Rhinolophus ferrumequinum: one gene and its partner. The protein of the gene in region 2 binds, or shares a complex with, the protein of the main gene of each other region. Links are inferred from orthologs where the notes say so. Each region holds a gene or a part of one and is shown on either strand. Other genes may lie near its edges.

What was found.
Region 1: the proteins of GHRHR (region 2) and GHRH are in contact, whole or in part, in a cryo-EM structure (PDB 7CZ5), measured with the Homo sapiens proteins. The link is inferred for Rhinolophus ferrumequinum from reciprocal best matches to the Homo sapiens genes GHRHR and GHRH. Residues at the interface, in NP_000814.2 of Homo sapiens: Leu119, Ala120, Glu122, Glu123, Phe126, Ser127, Val129, Lys130, Tyr133, Val179, Lys182, Leu186, Phe187, Asp190, Thr192, Asp193, His194, Cys195, Phe197, His210, Thr213, Phe217, Ala271, Cys272, Asp274, Leu275, Asp276, Trp282, Ile285, Ile289; in NP_066567.1 of Homo sapiens: Tyr32, Ala33, Asp34, Ala35, Ile36, Phe37, Thr38, Asn39, Ser40, Tyr41, Arg42, Val44, Leu45, Gly46, Gln47, Leu48, Ser49, Ala50, Leu53.

Annotation. Positions count from the first base shown.
Region 1 is NC_046306.1:18,664,186-18,671,445, reverse strand, and holds the start of GHRH (somatoliberin), read right to left. Parts: upstream 3,013-7,260; coding exon 2,933-3,012; intron 2,643-2,932; coding exon 2,538-2,642; intron 1,118-2,537; coding exon 1,001-1,117; coding exon of another isoform or gene 998-1,000; intron 1-997. UniProt on the Homo sapiens protein: GRF is released by the hypothalamus and acts on the adenohypophyse to stimulate the secretion of growth hormone.
Region 2 is NC_046303.1:11,587,679-11,594,889, forward strand, and holds the start of GHRHR (growth hormone-releasing hormone receptor), read right to left. Parts: upstream 3,016-7,211; 5' UTR 2,974-3,015; coding exon 2,917-2,973; intron 2,295-2,916; coding exon 2,185-2,294; intron 2,065-2,184; coding exon 1,958-2,064; intron 1,211-1,957; coding exon 1,115-1,210; intron 12-1,114; coding exon 1-11.

The DNA of each region.
Region 1 (7,260 bases), on a different chromosome or scaffold from region 2:
GGAGCCCAGGTGTGCATTCTGCCTCCCTTGCAGCCTGGTTCTCACCCCTCCTGCAGCCTGCCTGTCGCCTGCCACTGCTTGTATCTCCACAGGACTGTAGTTGGGGAGAGATCTCTGAGCTCTTGGTGTCTAATTAGGTTGGGAAGAGGGTGAGGGAGCACACGGAGAGAGCTCTGTTGGGAAGTGGATTTGCTTAATAGGTCCAGAAATGCCTGGCAGAGTCAAGCTGGGACATGTTTGTACTCACAGTTGAAAATTGGCCTCAAAAATATAGCAGAGTTTCACCAAACAGTCGTGTCATTTTGGGGAAACTTTGTCTGTGAAGCAGGGCTTTCTGGGCAGGCGCTCCAGGGAAGCAGAGCAGGTCTTGGGCCTGCCAGTCCCTGACTTAGGGGCAACTGCTGCCCCTTCTTTGCCTCAGTTTTCCTCCTCTGTAAGATGGGAAAACTCATTCCTGATCTTCCATGACTTCCAGTGGGAAAGTGAGGGGCAGAAAGATGGGGAATGACTGTCATTCTCATCTCTCCCCCTCATGAGTGCTCCACACACATCTTTCTGAGGGTGTTGGGTGGGGCTGGTCTTTGGTTTTATAGTTTCGTGAACTTGGCAAGGGATCCAGGGCATGCTTCTCAGATCATTCATCCCCTGGGATATGTGTTAAAATTCAGGTTCCTGGGTCCTCTCCCAGAACTATTGAGTCAGTCATGTTTTTGGACACAGACGCTGAGCCTGGCCTCTTGCAACACACTGGAGATACAGTAATGGATAAGATACAATTGTTATCACACGTTTTCTCCTCTTCCTCCAGTTCTTGATGTGTGTAAGGACGAACTTCGTTTCCAGTTTGCTTGGCAGAGCCCCACGCCTTTGGAGGGGAGAGTCTTTCCTTTTCCTGCTGACCCTCGTGGGAGGAAACCTCTGAGCTCCCTAGGTGCACACCCATGCACACGTGTACACACATACACATATGTATACACACACATGCACGTATTCCTACCTCTGCTTCTGTGGCAGGGCCACCAGGATGCTCTCCAATGCCATCTGCTTTTGGTCTGCCCACATGCTCTCCGCCTGACGGCCAGCCCTTACCTTTGCTCTTTGCTCCTGGTTTCTTTCTCTATTTGATTAGAAAAAGAGAAACAGCTGAGGCTCGTATTTGGGTAGCTGAGGTGGAGAGGCCTGGGAAAGACCAAGACAAAGTGAGCAGAGCAGGGTGTGTCCGTACACCGATTCCAGGATCTGGTATGAATGCTGCCAGCCAACTGAATCAGATTTGGCAGCAATTTAGGAAGGCAGTCTATATAGCAGTGAAGAGCATGGGCTATGAAACACACGTTTACTTATTCATTACAAAGGGAAACATATTAACTTTATAGAGGAGAAAACTAGCAGACACTGTGTCAACCAAATGATCAAAGTTACCATCACCAATAATGGGACAAATTGACATCATGTGCCTGCTGATACGAGACACTGAGAGGGACACAACGTCACTCCTGTGGCATAACCTGAATCTAGCCATGAGGAAGCATCAGGCAAATCCAACATGAGGGGCGTTCCATAAACAATTGGCCTTCACTAAACAAAAATGTCAGTGGCCTGGAAGATGAAGGCACTGTTCCAGAGGAAAGGAAACTAAGGAGACATGACAGCGAAATGCCACTCAGGATCCTGGATTGGATCCTGGGTCAGGAAAAGAAATAATCGTTATAGAGGATATTTTAGGTCAACTGGTAAATTTTGAGTGTGGACTCTAAAGGATAATTGTACTGTGATTAAGTAAGAGAATGTCCTTTCATTGGGTATTAGGAGACACCCACAGAAGAAGGGTAAGGGGTCACGAGGACTGCAATTTACTCTCAAGTGGTTCAGCAAAATAATATCAATGTTAATAATAACCGTAGTAATACAGGTGTACATGTGTTTGTGTATGTGTAGATATACATCTAAGTTATAGAGCAAGCAAATACGATAAAAATGTTAGGAATTACTGAATATAGGGAAGGGTACATAGAAGTCCTTTGTACTATTGCTGCAATTTCTCTATCAATTTGGAATTTTTTCAAAATAAAACCTGAAAAATGTGGAGTCAGGCTGTTTGGATCCCGGCGCTGCCACTCTTTGGTGTGTGTCCTTTAGAAGCTATTAATGGCTCTGGACGAAGTGGGTAAGAGTTCCTACTTTGGAAGGTGGTTAGAAAGAGCAAACAAGAAATGAAGGACAACGGCTAATACTAACAAGGCCTTACTGGGTGCTCAGCGCTGTGCCAAGTGTATGTAAATGGCTCAGTGCAGAGCCTTTGTTTCTGAGTTGTGACCCAGTACTAACTACCATTGGCATGGTTCCCACTGGAGCCCAGAATAGAGAGAAGCACATAGTAGGTGTTCAATGGCCATTGAATAGTGAGAGGTAAGCTAAAGTTTGACATTGGGGCCCTTCTGCTATGGCAAGCCCAGAAATGACAGGTGCTGTGCAAGGGAAGAGATAAAACTTGGTGCACGTGGGGTATGGAAGGAATCACAGGAACTCCTGCTTACCCCTGCTGCCTGCTCATGAGGTCCTGGAGCAGCTTGCGGGCAGACAGCTGGCCCAGCACCTTCCGGTAGCCATTGGTGAAGATGGCATCGGCATACCGGGGCATCCTACGTGGGAGGAGTCAGAAGTCAACGGGCAGCATGGCACACTCGGGCAAGGGAACAGACAGGCTGCAGTCACCAGTCACCTGTTGCCCTTTACCCTGTTCATCCCCAGAGGGGGTGGGACCCAAGGGTGACCTCTCTGGAGCTCAGAGTGCCCCCCTCCCAGAGATGGGCAGTACGGGCTGCCTGAGGGGATGGCTGGGGCCAGCTGATGGCTCAGTTCTGCACCCGCCCACCAGCAGGGATGGCTTTGGGGTGGCAGGAATCCAGGTCTTGTTGGCAGGACTGCTTACCTGAGGGGCAAGGAGGGTGGGGAGCAGTGGGAGCCGCTGCTGAGGGTGAGGATCATGAGCAAGAACACCCAGAGCAGCATTTTTCACCCCTGTGGTGGCACCTGGAAAATGACAGGAGGGAAGGTCAGATGTAGCCATAGCCACGGGGATGTCCTTTGCTGGCTGTGCCCAGCCCTGGGCTTGGCTCCAAGCAAGCCTTGGTCCTTGTCTTTTGGAAGCTGTAGGTTAGGAAAAAGAACCCAGACTCTGGAAGTCAGACAGACCTGAGTTCAAGTTTAGCCTCTGCCAGTCATGAGTTCTGACCTCATTTTCTCCATCTGTAAAATGGGCATGATAAAGCTCCCTTGCTGACCTGATAGGGTTGAAGAGAAAATTAAAGATAATGGTGAAACTGCCCCTTCCTTTAAGGCATTAAATATGGAATTCAGGCCTCAGCAAGGGATAAAGCAGATGCAAGCACCTTCCTTTAGTCCCCTACGTCACCCCCCACCCCACAGTGTGACATTGACATAGCGATCGGGACTGACAGCTCAGGCTCCAAGTCAGACTAATCTGAGTTCATATCCGAGCTCTGCCATCATTAGCTGTGTATCCCAGGACAAGTGGCTTCTCCTTCCTGGGCCTCAGTTTCCCTATTCACAAAATGGAGTCGATAACTATACCTACTGCATAGGGTCCTTGTAAGCATGCGATGAAATGAGGCACCTGAAGTGAGTAGCCTGGCCCATGGGAATTTCTCCATAAACTTTTGCTGTGATGATTTAATATTAAACCTGCTCAGATAGTAATATCGGCATGTGCTGTTTTGGTTTTGGGTGGAGTTGGAGGGAAGCGAAGGCTATAAATCTTGCTCCAGACGCTTAGATTTCACCAAACAATCTGAGCCCTGGAAGAGACCCAGGAGCCTGGGGAGCCACGCAAAATTATCTCATAGATCACGTAATTACCCTTAATTGGGGCCTGCTGACACCGTGCTCTGCAATTAGAGGAAGAACAGGCAACAGGGAGGGGAAGAACCCACCTCAGCTGGAGTGGTGCCTCCACTGTCAACCCAGACTTGCCCTAGTGTGACTCAGCTACCCAGGAATTGGGTCTTCCCATCTCCCATGGTACCCCCTCTCTCAGCAGGTTATCCACGCCACGGGGATAAAGACCATCCAGAGGCCCAGGCAGCCCCTTTCCCCTGATCACCCCACCATGGCTCCGTTTCCTCCCTGGTCCTGCTGAGCAGTGGTTTCTGGCAGGCAGGGCCCGCACTGGAAGAAACCCGTTTTCCTTCCTGGGCTCACCTGCCTTCTCACAGCATCATTCCCCTTCGCCCAGACACCAGGTCCTGACTAACCCAGGGATACCTTGAGACTCAAGGGAATATCCACGGGGACGGCTCGATGTGGCCTGAGACCACGGCACCTCCAGAGCTGGAGGGAGCAGCTGTTTAGGCCTCCACCATCAGCCTTTTCTTGATGAGCCCCACTCCCCACCCCCACCCCAACCTAATCCTCCAGTTCCTGCTCAAGTATTTGCTGCCAGTGAGTGAGAGGGAATTCACTATCTCCGAGCCAGTCTGTCCTACTTCCAGCCATCTCTTCTTGTTAGGAGGTTTTTCTCATCGTGTCAAGTCCATGTCCCCTTATCCTGCAAATACTTGTTAAGTTTTCACTCTTCTGGTAAGGACTGGGGCTAGACAAAAGATGAGAACGTGGCATCTGCCCCTGAGGGCTGCCCCTTTGACATCCATCCAGAGCTTCTGCACTTTCATCCACATGACACGCCCTTTAGATGTGTTTTGCCTCAGACTTAGGCCTTTGGTCCCCAGACCAAGGATCTGTAGCCTTCGGTGCTCATCATACCATAACACGTGTGGCTCCCCCTTTCCTGATCTGGTCCAAGGCCAGAGTTTCCTAAGCAGGGAGATCTTTGGAGGCAAGTAGGGCCCCTTGACACAACCACTGCTTTTTCAGTCTCCCAGCTGCAGCCTGGGCTTTCTCGCCTTCTTGGAGGCTGATCTTTTAGAGACCTGGGCATATCCAGGCCCCTACTCACCCCACTCTTCTGCTCAGAAGCCCTTGCCCCACCCCCTCACTTTCTCCAGAGCGAAGCCCACACCCCTGCTCTTGGCCTAAGCCCTCCCTCAGCCTCCCCACCTCCTGCCCCTGTCCCAGGGCTGGCAGAATCGATTCCCAGCCCCTGTGCCCTCCTGGCCCACACAGCCCACCCTCACACTCACATTCCAGAGCAGGCATCACCATCTTCATTTTATAGCTGAGGAAACAAGCCCAGAGAGGAAAAGGGCCTTTTTCCATAGTCCTCCATCAAATTAGTTTCAGAAAGGGCCCTTCAGAATGGGCCTCAAAATCCCCAGGCCAGCAGACCTCCTGTTCTCCGCAGCAGCCTTCCTGATACAATACCCTATTCATAGTGCTCCTCGTTCATGGGGCCCTTCAGAACTCATCACCTACACGTGGGAAATGGGCCCGATAAAACTGAACGCTTTTGTGTTTTGTCATTGGGTCTCTGAAGAAGGAAAAAGGGGGACAAACAGGAACACCTGCTTGGTGGGTGCACCCCTGTGCACACGCAATGGTTTTAAGGAGTTGAAAAATAACCTGGCAAGAGGGCAGACTTTGGGGGGGCGGAAATCACAGTAATTCCAGGAAACTACTGCTCATTCAGAATGAGGCTGAGCAACTGCATAGTCTGATCAACCAAGAGGCACAGCATTTGCCAGAAGCCATGTGTCCCAGGAGTGGGTCAGGTCACCACGGCCACCTCTGGGCTGTGAGAACCCAATCCACGGGGCTGAGAAATCCCATTGGACAAAGATGGGAAACAACAAGAAGTTTCCAGCTTATGCTATGATAAGAATAGATGAAATAGCTGTTGCCCGACACATGCCACATGACCATTCAAAGGAGCGAGAATTCACAAATCCAACAACATCAGCCACTACTCCGTGATAGTCCCCAAAGCATTTTAGGTTTATTATCTATCATTATGCACATCCGTTAGCTCTCCGCAGTGGTTACAAGCCTGGATTCAGGGTGAATGGGCACTTGATCTAGTTCAGTTGGCACCTTTCGCCAGCCTTCATGGCAAGAACGCCACAAGAATTCTGCAGATGTGCCTGCCTTCAGCTAACCACAGAGGTCAGGTCTCAAATGCCCTCAGGGAACAAAAATCTCTTACCTTTCTTAACTATTCTGCTTTGTAATTTAAGAACCCTGATCCATTTTACAAACCAATCGTATTGCAAGTCGATGGAGATCTAAGTTTTTAACAAGGAAGTACCTTGAATAGTCACTCAGAAGAGCGACACCCCACCTCCTTTCAGAAAGGGTAGGGAGGTGTCTTATGATGAAGGACACAAATACTTCAGGAGCATTAAAGCAAGGATTAGGGAACAAGTGTGGGGGTAATGGAGTGCTCCAAGGGCAGGTAATTGTGTCTAAAACCCAGAGGAAGGAGTGCGGCTGCAATTGAGCAAGAAAGCAAATTGGTATCAATTTCCAGGCAATTACGTTGCATCGGTTCTGAGCGATCAATGCACGGTATTGATTTGCACAGCCGCGTGGCTCCCTTCTGATCCATGGCCGAGTCCCGTTGTTGACAGGGGAATCTAGCCAGCTCACGTCTTGCCCCAGAAGCCTATCCACACACACCTGAGAACCTCACCCACCTCCGACAGACACCTGGACATGTCTGTCTGCCTGCCACTTATCCCAGACGACCTCAAAATGGCACCAACCATCAAAAGCATGTTTCAGGGCCCCTAACAAGGGACCTAAATGTACTCACCAGTCCATGGGCAAAGAGAATGGCGGTGGGCCTCTTTGAGTTGGTGTCTCTGAGTTGGTGAGAAGGTCAACTTTCCTGGTCCCATGCAGCCCAGCCCCCAGGGCCATCCCCCTCTCACCTGAGATGTGGCGGAAAGATCTCCCTCTGCTCTGTGGCGCTGCTGCAGTTCCACGGACCTTAGGCTCAGCGTTTGTTCCGGTGGCTGTGTGGCGCTCCCATCATTTATACCTTCATTTTCCTAAGCGTTGTCAGCGTCAGAGAATCAATTACTCACAAGTCAACCAAAGGACCATTTTTAGCATCACACTGACAAGCCCTAATAGGGGAAAGAGGTTTGCCCCGTATAAATTAAGACTTATACTGGACTCTCCCTTTATCTTTGAAGGAGCAGACAGAGTACAAAGTTATAATATGATTCTGAGAGGAACAGAGAGTATGTAATACTGCTACTCTTGTAATTGGAGCACTCATAACAGTGAAACACCAAAGGTTCATTTACTCTCTGAGATAAATGTGCCTTTTAAAAAGTTCAT
Region 2 (7,211 bases):
GTAGGATTGCTGGGAAGGGTGGAGATGGAGAAAGTCTCAGCTACTGAGCATGAGGGAAAGGGAGGCTTCACAGTCTACCCGGTGAGGCTCTCTGTTCTACCCTGAAACTGCCCATCTGAGGCTGGGGTGTCCGTGGGGGCCATGGCAAGCTCCTTCCATGGCCTGAAGTGTTTGTTTTCAGCCTGTCCTCCGCCTAACCTCCTGGTGACAGGGAGGGCGGTGACAGGGAGTGAGACGCTTCACTCCCACTGTTGCTCTGGGGTTGGGGAGAGGCAGCAGCAGAAACTCCGCATCCCTGGGGAATGACAGGAGCTCAGGAGGAAACTGGGCTTGTTTACTGACATCCAACTTGCTCACCACGACGTCCCCAAAGAAAGGGGACAGCCGGCAACAACCACAGGGAAAAGCTCTTTCCATGACCAAGTGTTTGGCTCAATCAAAGTCCAGCCTGGACCCTGAAGGTGGAGATGTGGGGCGCAGGCCGAGGGACGGGAGCAGGGGCCCAGCTCCCCTGAGGGACACAGGTAATCCGAGCCCCTGTCTGACTCAGTCTTTTCACCTGAAAAAATGGTCAGATTCATGCTTTACCAGGCTGAGGGGAAAGAAATATAAGATTATGGGCATGGAAGCAAGCCCTGCTCAGTTTGGAGGTGTGGGGCGTGCCGGCTTATTCGGGGTCACTGCGACCACTTCTGAGCAGCAGTTTCTCTCACTTGCCTACACCACAGCCATACACACTGCTCCACAGACAGGAAGAGAGGGAAGGAGCTGGCCCAGGAGCGCGGGGAACATATATTTCCCTGGAACCACCCCAAACTCTCTGCCCTGGAGATGAGGGCACAGAGAGGGGATGCCAAGGAGATGGTCTCCAGCACATCCCCCGGCCTGCCCTCTGCCTTCCCTCCCGCCAAGCAACGCTCCCACCTATCACCCTTGAACAGATTAGCAAAAGTCTCTCTTCCAGACACTGCCATCTTCTGGAAATCTGCTGCAGTTGATATTCCAACCTGCTGCTACAACGGAATGGGCTTGCCCTACAGTTGTGAGGTGCACCCCACCCCCCAAACACCTCCATGGCCACCCTTCCTGCAAGACGCCTGGAGCCTCTTACCGTCCTCGGTCAGCAGTTCCAAGGGCACAGGGCAGGCCACAGAGTAAGGTGGGAAGGGCTCAGACCAGCCTGCGATCGTGCAATCCCGCTGCACAGCCCCTGGGAGGCAAGTGGAGGTGGGGGGGAGCAGAGGTCTGGTCACAGCCCCTGCCCTCTCCCCAGAAGGGATGGGAGCCATGGGCCATGAGTGACCCTGGCAGGCTGCGCAGACAGCCCCTCCAGGCGGCAGAGAGAGAGGAGCCTTCTCTGTAGACGCCTGGGTTCCAGGTCCAGCCTGCCTGGGACACGTTCTGAAGCCTTTCTCTCTGGCCTCAGAATCACCATCTTTAAAGGGAGAGGACCATTCCTTTGAGAGGCAGAGTAGTGAGTTGGGCCCCCAGCATCCTAACAGCCGGGGGGAGAAAGGAGGCCCCCCTGCTCCTGGAGGGACTGTCCAGCGCAGCTTCCCAGGCCAGGGAGGGAGGCAGAGCGATGCCTTCCCTCCTCCCACGAGGCAGCTGGTAGTATCTTCGCGGTCAGACAGGCTCTGCCCCGCTCCACCCCACAGCCAGCCCTCCTGTTACCATCCAGGGAACACGTACTTGGTGCCAGGCCGTGGGTCCAGCACTTCTGCTGGCTCACTAATCCTCCCGCCTATGCAGTGAATGAGCTTGTTCCCCCCAGGTCACAGGTCAGAAAGCTGCGTTTCACTGACTTGCCCAAGGTCACACCCAAAGAGAGGACATTGTTGAAACCCAGGTCTGCCTCCCCCCACCCCCCAAGCCAGGGTTGTATCTGCCCACATCCCGGCATCACCAGACGAAATCACCTCCCCTGCCCACCCACCACCACACCCCAAACCCTCACCTGGCTCTGAGCTGAAGTGAGAGAAGAAATCCGGGCAGGGGAGAGTCACCCCCTCACCAGAGTCTGCCATCGGCCAGCACAGCAGCCCATCCCAGGTCCTGGGCAGCCTGGATACAGAGATGGGGAGCAGTGCAGACTCAGCCTGGGAGACAGGCCCGTCCAACATCCTAAGAGATGAGCCTGGAAGAGATAAAGGAACCCAAGGAGCCAGCTCCTCCCTCCCAAGCCCCGTACCCAGGGTGGCGTTGGGTACCCCCTCTGCTGCCGGCAGACACGCACTCTCATCCTCCCTCAACTGGGTGATGAAGTCACACTCTGGGTGCACGTGGCCCAAGACCTGCAGAAAAGTTAACAGGTGAGCCAAGCCCGTTGAGTGTTCCTTCTGAGTTCTCTGGCCCAAATGACCTGAGGACAGAGACAAAGCCGGATTTGTTTCTGTGTGCCTGCTGGTAAGCACAGGGCCTGGCTCACGGCACTGACCCGTGGGCTTGATGGAAGGAGGGAGGGAGGAAGGGAGGGAGGGAAGAAAGGAGGGAGGGAGGAAGAAAAGATGGAGGTCAGATGGAAGTTTCCCTTTTTCATCTCTTGGAAGTAAGTTCTAAGACACATTAAACAAAAGTCTTCAGAAGATCTCATGGGAGAAAGAGAGGAAGGGAAGGGAAGGGAAGGAGAGGGAAGGAAAGAGGAAGGAAGGGGAAGGGAGGGGAGGGGAGGGGAGGGAAAGAAGGGGAAGGAGAGGGCAGGGAAAGGGAGAGGAGGGAAGGGATGGGGAAGGGAGGGAAGAGCCATGGGATTTAGGAGTTCTCCAAGCCACAGCCTGCCACCTTCTTGGTAGGGAGACTCCTGCTCTGGGAAGGGCAGTGAGGATCCCAGCAAGCTCCAGCTGGACCCCCGTATAGCCCGTAACTCCCAGATCTGGAGCCTAGTGAGAGGCAGGAGGGTCTGAGCTGGCTACTCACAATTGGTAATGAGCTCAGAAAGCAGAGGCTGCAGGCACCCCGTGCCCTGCTGTCCATGGTGGGGGTCAGCAGTGGCTCCCTCAGTCAGCTCACTGAGCCCCAGCTTTCTTCTCTCTCCTTCCTAGGTGGTTGTTTGCATAGGCAGGAGCCAGCAAAGGGGACAGAACTGGCTGAATATTCACCAGGATTGCAGGACGCTGTGCACAGCTCAGGCCCTGTCCTGGCGTGGGACTCCATGTCCCCAGCAGGGAGGGGCTAAGTCCCCCTACTTCCATCCTCTCTGTCAGTCAGCCTGTTTGTCTATCCTGATAGTGGGGGCCCCGGGAGGTGACAGCCCCAGGACACTTCTTGCCCCAGTAGGTCATATTCTTAACCATTTTCTTCTCTAAGCTCAGCCCCTGCTGGTCCACACTGGAGGGAGCCCCTCAAAATGAACGTGGCTCAGAGAAGAAGACTGAGACCTGGGCCCGTCCTCAGGGAGCCCCCGGTTTGGTTGGTGAGCTTCAGCCTTGTCCCAGGGCTATAGAGGATGGGCTCAGGGCTGTGGGGACCCAGCGGGAGTGGGTATGGGTGTCAGTGGGGGCTGGGATTTGGAGAATGAGCCTAGGAGGAAGCATGGTTACAGGGCAACCAGCGTGGGCTGGCCAGAAGGTGTCATCAGCAGGACATCATTTCTTTCCCTCACAAGGGACAGCAGCCTGGATGGCGAGGTGAAGTGTGCAGATAGCTCGGCTCTGGCTTGGGGTTGGGGGGGGGGGAGCTGACTCTCCAGAAGTCCTGGGGGAAAACAGGGGAAATTGAGGCTCAACAGAGGCTTTCAAGGGGATTCATGGCGCTGGCCATTCTGAATGGAGCAAGAAAACTGTTATCTGTTGTCACGAGCAAAAACAGGAGAACTTTCACAGCCACTCAAATCGTTTTCAACATTCGTTACCCGATCATTTTTGTTGCAGTTTTAGACTTTAAAACGCGGACAGCGTTCTACGTTACCCTGGATCTTGTCCAGCATGTTGAGATTCAAAAGCACATTTTAAGCTGCCAGCACCTGGGAGGTCCTGGCAGTTGGAAGCAGGTCTGCATGTCCCAGAGCTGGCTGGACTGGACACCAGTGACACCAGACATGTTTACAGCTGATGCAAATCATGAATGATGAAGGATATCATCGCCCCTGCCACGTCTGGATTAAGGATAAAACATCAACAGGGTTGTATCTTTGCATTTGTATTCATCAGCAACAAGGTGTTGGAGAAAAACATATTGAAAAGAAAACATGAACCAGCCCAAAGCCCAGACCCCCCTGCCCTCCCACAGGTGGTGGCATGTGCTCCCTGGGGCACAGTGTGAGCAGCCGGTACACGGACTGAGTGCAGTGTTTTTCAGGGTTGGAAACGCGCTCCTCCGTGGCACACCGAGTGAGGATTTGCAGGTTGGGACAGCAGAGCCGAGTAGGTGACTTAGAGGGAAAGCTAGATACACCCTCTGCCCTGCCCTTCAGGTAGAAAGAAGCAACAGCCCAAGGACAAATATGACCACTAATCACTGTGGATAATTAGTGTCCGTGTCATTAGCATTAATGATGGTTAATCATTGATATTGATACTTAATAATAATTGTTTTCTACATTAGTGGTTCTTTTTTGTTTACCCTTCTTCCGCTTCCACCCCCTCACCTCTGAGTTCAAGCCATTGTTTCTCAGTCTAGCTCCCTGGCCCATGCTGGTATTATGAGCCTTGTGCTCCCCCGTCAGTGGACACAGACCTTCAGCTGTTCTCCACAGCCCAGCTCCAGAGAGCTGTTGTTCACAGTCTTAGCTGTAGAGGGCGCAGCTCACTGGCCCATGCGGGAATCGAACCAGCGACCTCGGCAAGCACGGCTCTCCAACCACCTAAGCCACCAGGCCAGCCCTAAATTAGTGGTTCTTAAGAGGAAACAATGTGTCCCCCAGGGAATGTTTGGCAATGCCTAGAGATAGTTTTCATTATCACAGCCAGAGGTCAAGGGTGGGGAGCAGGCGTGTCAAGGTGTTACTTCTGTATAATAGACAGAAACCAGGGATGCTGTTAAACATCCTACAGTGCACAGGATGTCCCCCCGCACCCACAGAATGAACTGTCCAGTTCATAAGATCAATAGAACGAAAGCTGAGACACACTGATCTAACCGTTCCTGTCCCCCAAGGATTCCTGCAGGCCCACTGTCCCTTCTCAGTAGGCCAGGGTCACTGAGTCCCATCTCTGTCTATCTCTGTATCTACTCAGAGTTCAAATTCTGCCTCCACCGCTTGCTAGCTATGTGACCTTTCTGAGCCTCAGTTTCTCCACCTGAAAAATGGGGGGTGATACCTTCCTTGCAGGGTTGATGGGATAATTAGTCAAGGAACAGCATATAACGTACCTCATAGAGAATTTAGCTCATAGTGGACAATCACTGATGGTAGCACGTAATAAGGATGGATTATCAGCAAATAAAGTTAGAACAATCAATTCTTTGTATAGAAAAAATTAGATTTGATCTCTAGCTTGCATTTACAAAATATAAATTTCTATAAGGTTTAAAGCCCTAACTGTAAAACAACAAACTAATAGATTTTTCCCCAATAATAGAAATTTGCTTCTATAACCTTAGAATAAAGGAGATTTTCTCTATAAAAAATAAAAACCATAAGAAAAGATTACTTACGTTTGATCCCATCAACATTTTTAAAAAATGTATTTTCAAGAAAGAACAACACAGGTAAAACTATAAGCAAGGTACAGACTGAAAGAAATATTGGCAATAGTGACAAAGAAGACATAACATCAAAAAAATATTTTTTAAAAAATATCTACAAATTAATAATAAAAATAGAAATAATCCAATAGAAAAGTGAGCAAAGGATATAAACAGGCAATAAGTAAAATATAGGACCAATAACAGAAAATGATGTTCAACATTACTAATACTCAAAAAATAGGAAATAAAAATAATAAGCTACCCTTTCTCACCTATCACATTGCCTAAAATTTTAATGTCTGATACTATGATGTTTGGAAAATAAGGTAGGGAAATAGTATTTTTATACTGTTAAGATGGGGGTAAACCTGGGTACACCTACTTTGAAAAGCAATTTGATATTATCTGTTGAACCTATCAATGAACATGCCTTACAAACCAGAAGTTCCGCTTCTGGATATTTGCCCCAGAGGGCAGCATTGTTTATAACATGTAGCAAAAACAGAAACACAAATGTCCAACAATAATAGATAAGTAAAATGTGATATAGTCATACAATGAAATACTACAGGGCATTAAAAGATGAATGAAGTTGATTTACATCGACATGGAGAGATTTCAAAAAAATGTATTGGAGAAACTTCTGCTTCCAGCCAAGATAGCATAACAGGGAATGATTGACCTTCTTCCTGCGTAACCTCAAGAAATCCAAACAAAATACTCAAAATATTGGGTTTTAATAGGTGAAGCAAAAAAGTACATATGATCATCTCCATTGATGCAGAAAAAGCATTTGACAAAAATCTAACACTCTTTCAAGATAAAAATACTCAATATGCTTAGAATAGAGAGAGTTTCTCTAACATGACAAAGGTCATATATGAAAAATCACAGTGACCATCACACTCAGTGATGAAAAACCGAAAGTGTTTTCCCTAAGATGATGAACAAGACAGGCTGTCTGGTTTCTCCAGTTCTTTTCAACGCAGTCCTACCGTAGAAGTCCTAGCCAGAATAACCAGGCAAGAAAAAGAAAATAAAACTCATCCAAATTAGTATATGTGCTGCCGAAACGAGCACAGAAACTCATCCAAATTAGAAAGAAAAAAAGAAAATTATTTCTGTTTGCTGATGACACGCTATGAATATCCTAAAGAATACACACATGTTTTATGTTGAATATTATATGTCAATTATATATTGAATATCCTAAAGAATACACACATGTGCGCACACACACACTTTCAAATACATTGGAGTAAACTTAACCAAGGAGGTAAAAGACTTTTACATAAAACCATAAAATATTATTGAAAGAAATTAAAGATCTAAAGAAAGGGAAAGATATCTTGTGTTCATGAATTGGAAAACTTAATATTGTTAACATGATAATACTGCCCAAACTGATAAACAGATTCAGTACAAATCCTATGAAAAATCCCAACGGAATATTTTTAAGAATTAAAAAAATCCATACTAAAATTCATATGGCATTTCAAGTTTCCCTGAAAGGTCAAAACAGTCTTGAAAAAACAAAGTTACAACCCTCACAATACTTGATTTCAAAACTTACTACAAAGCTA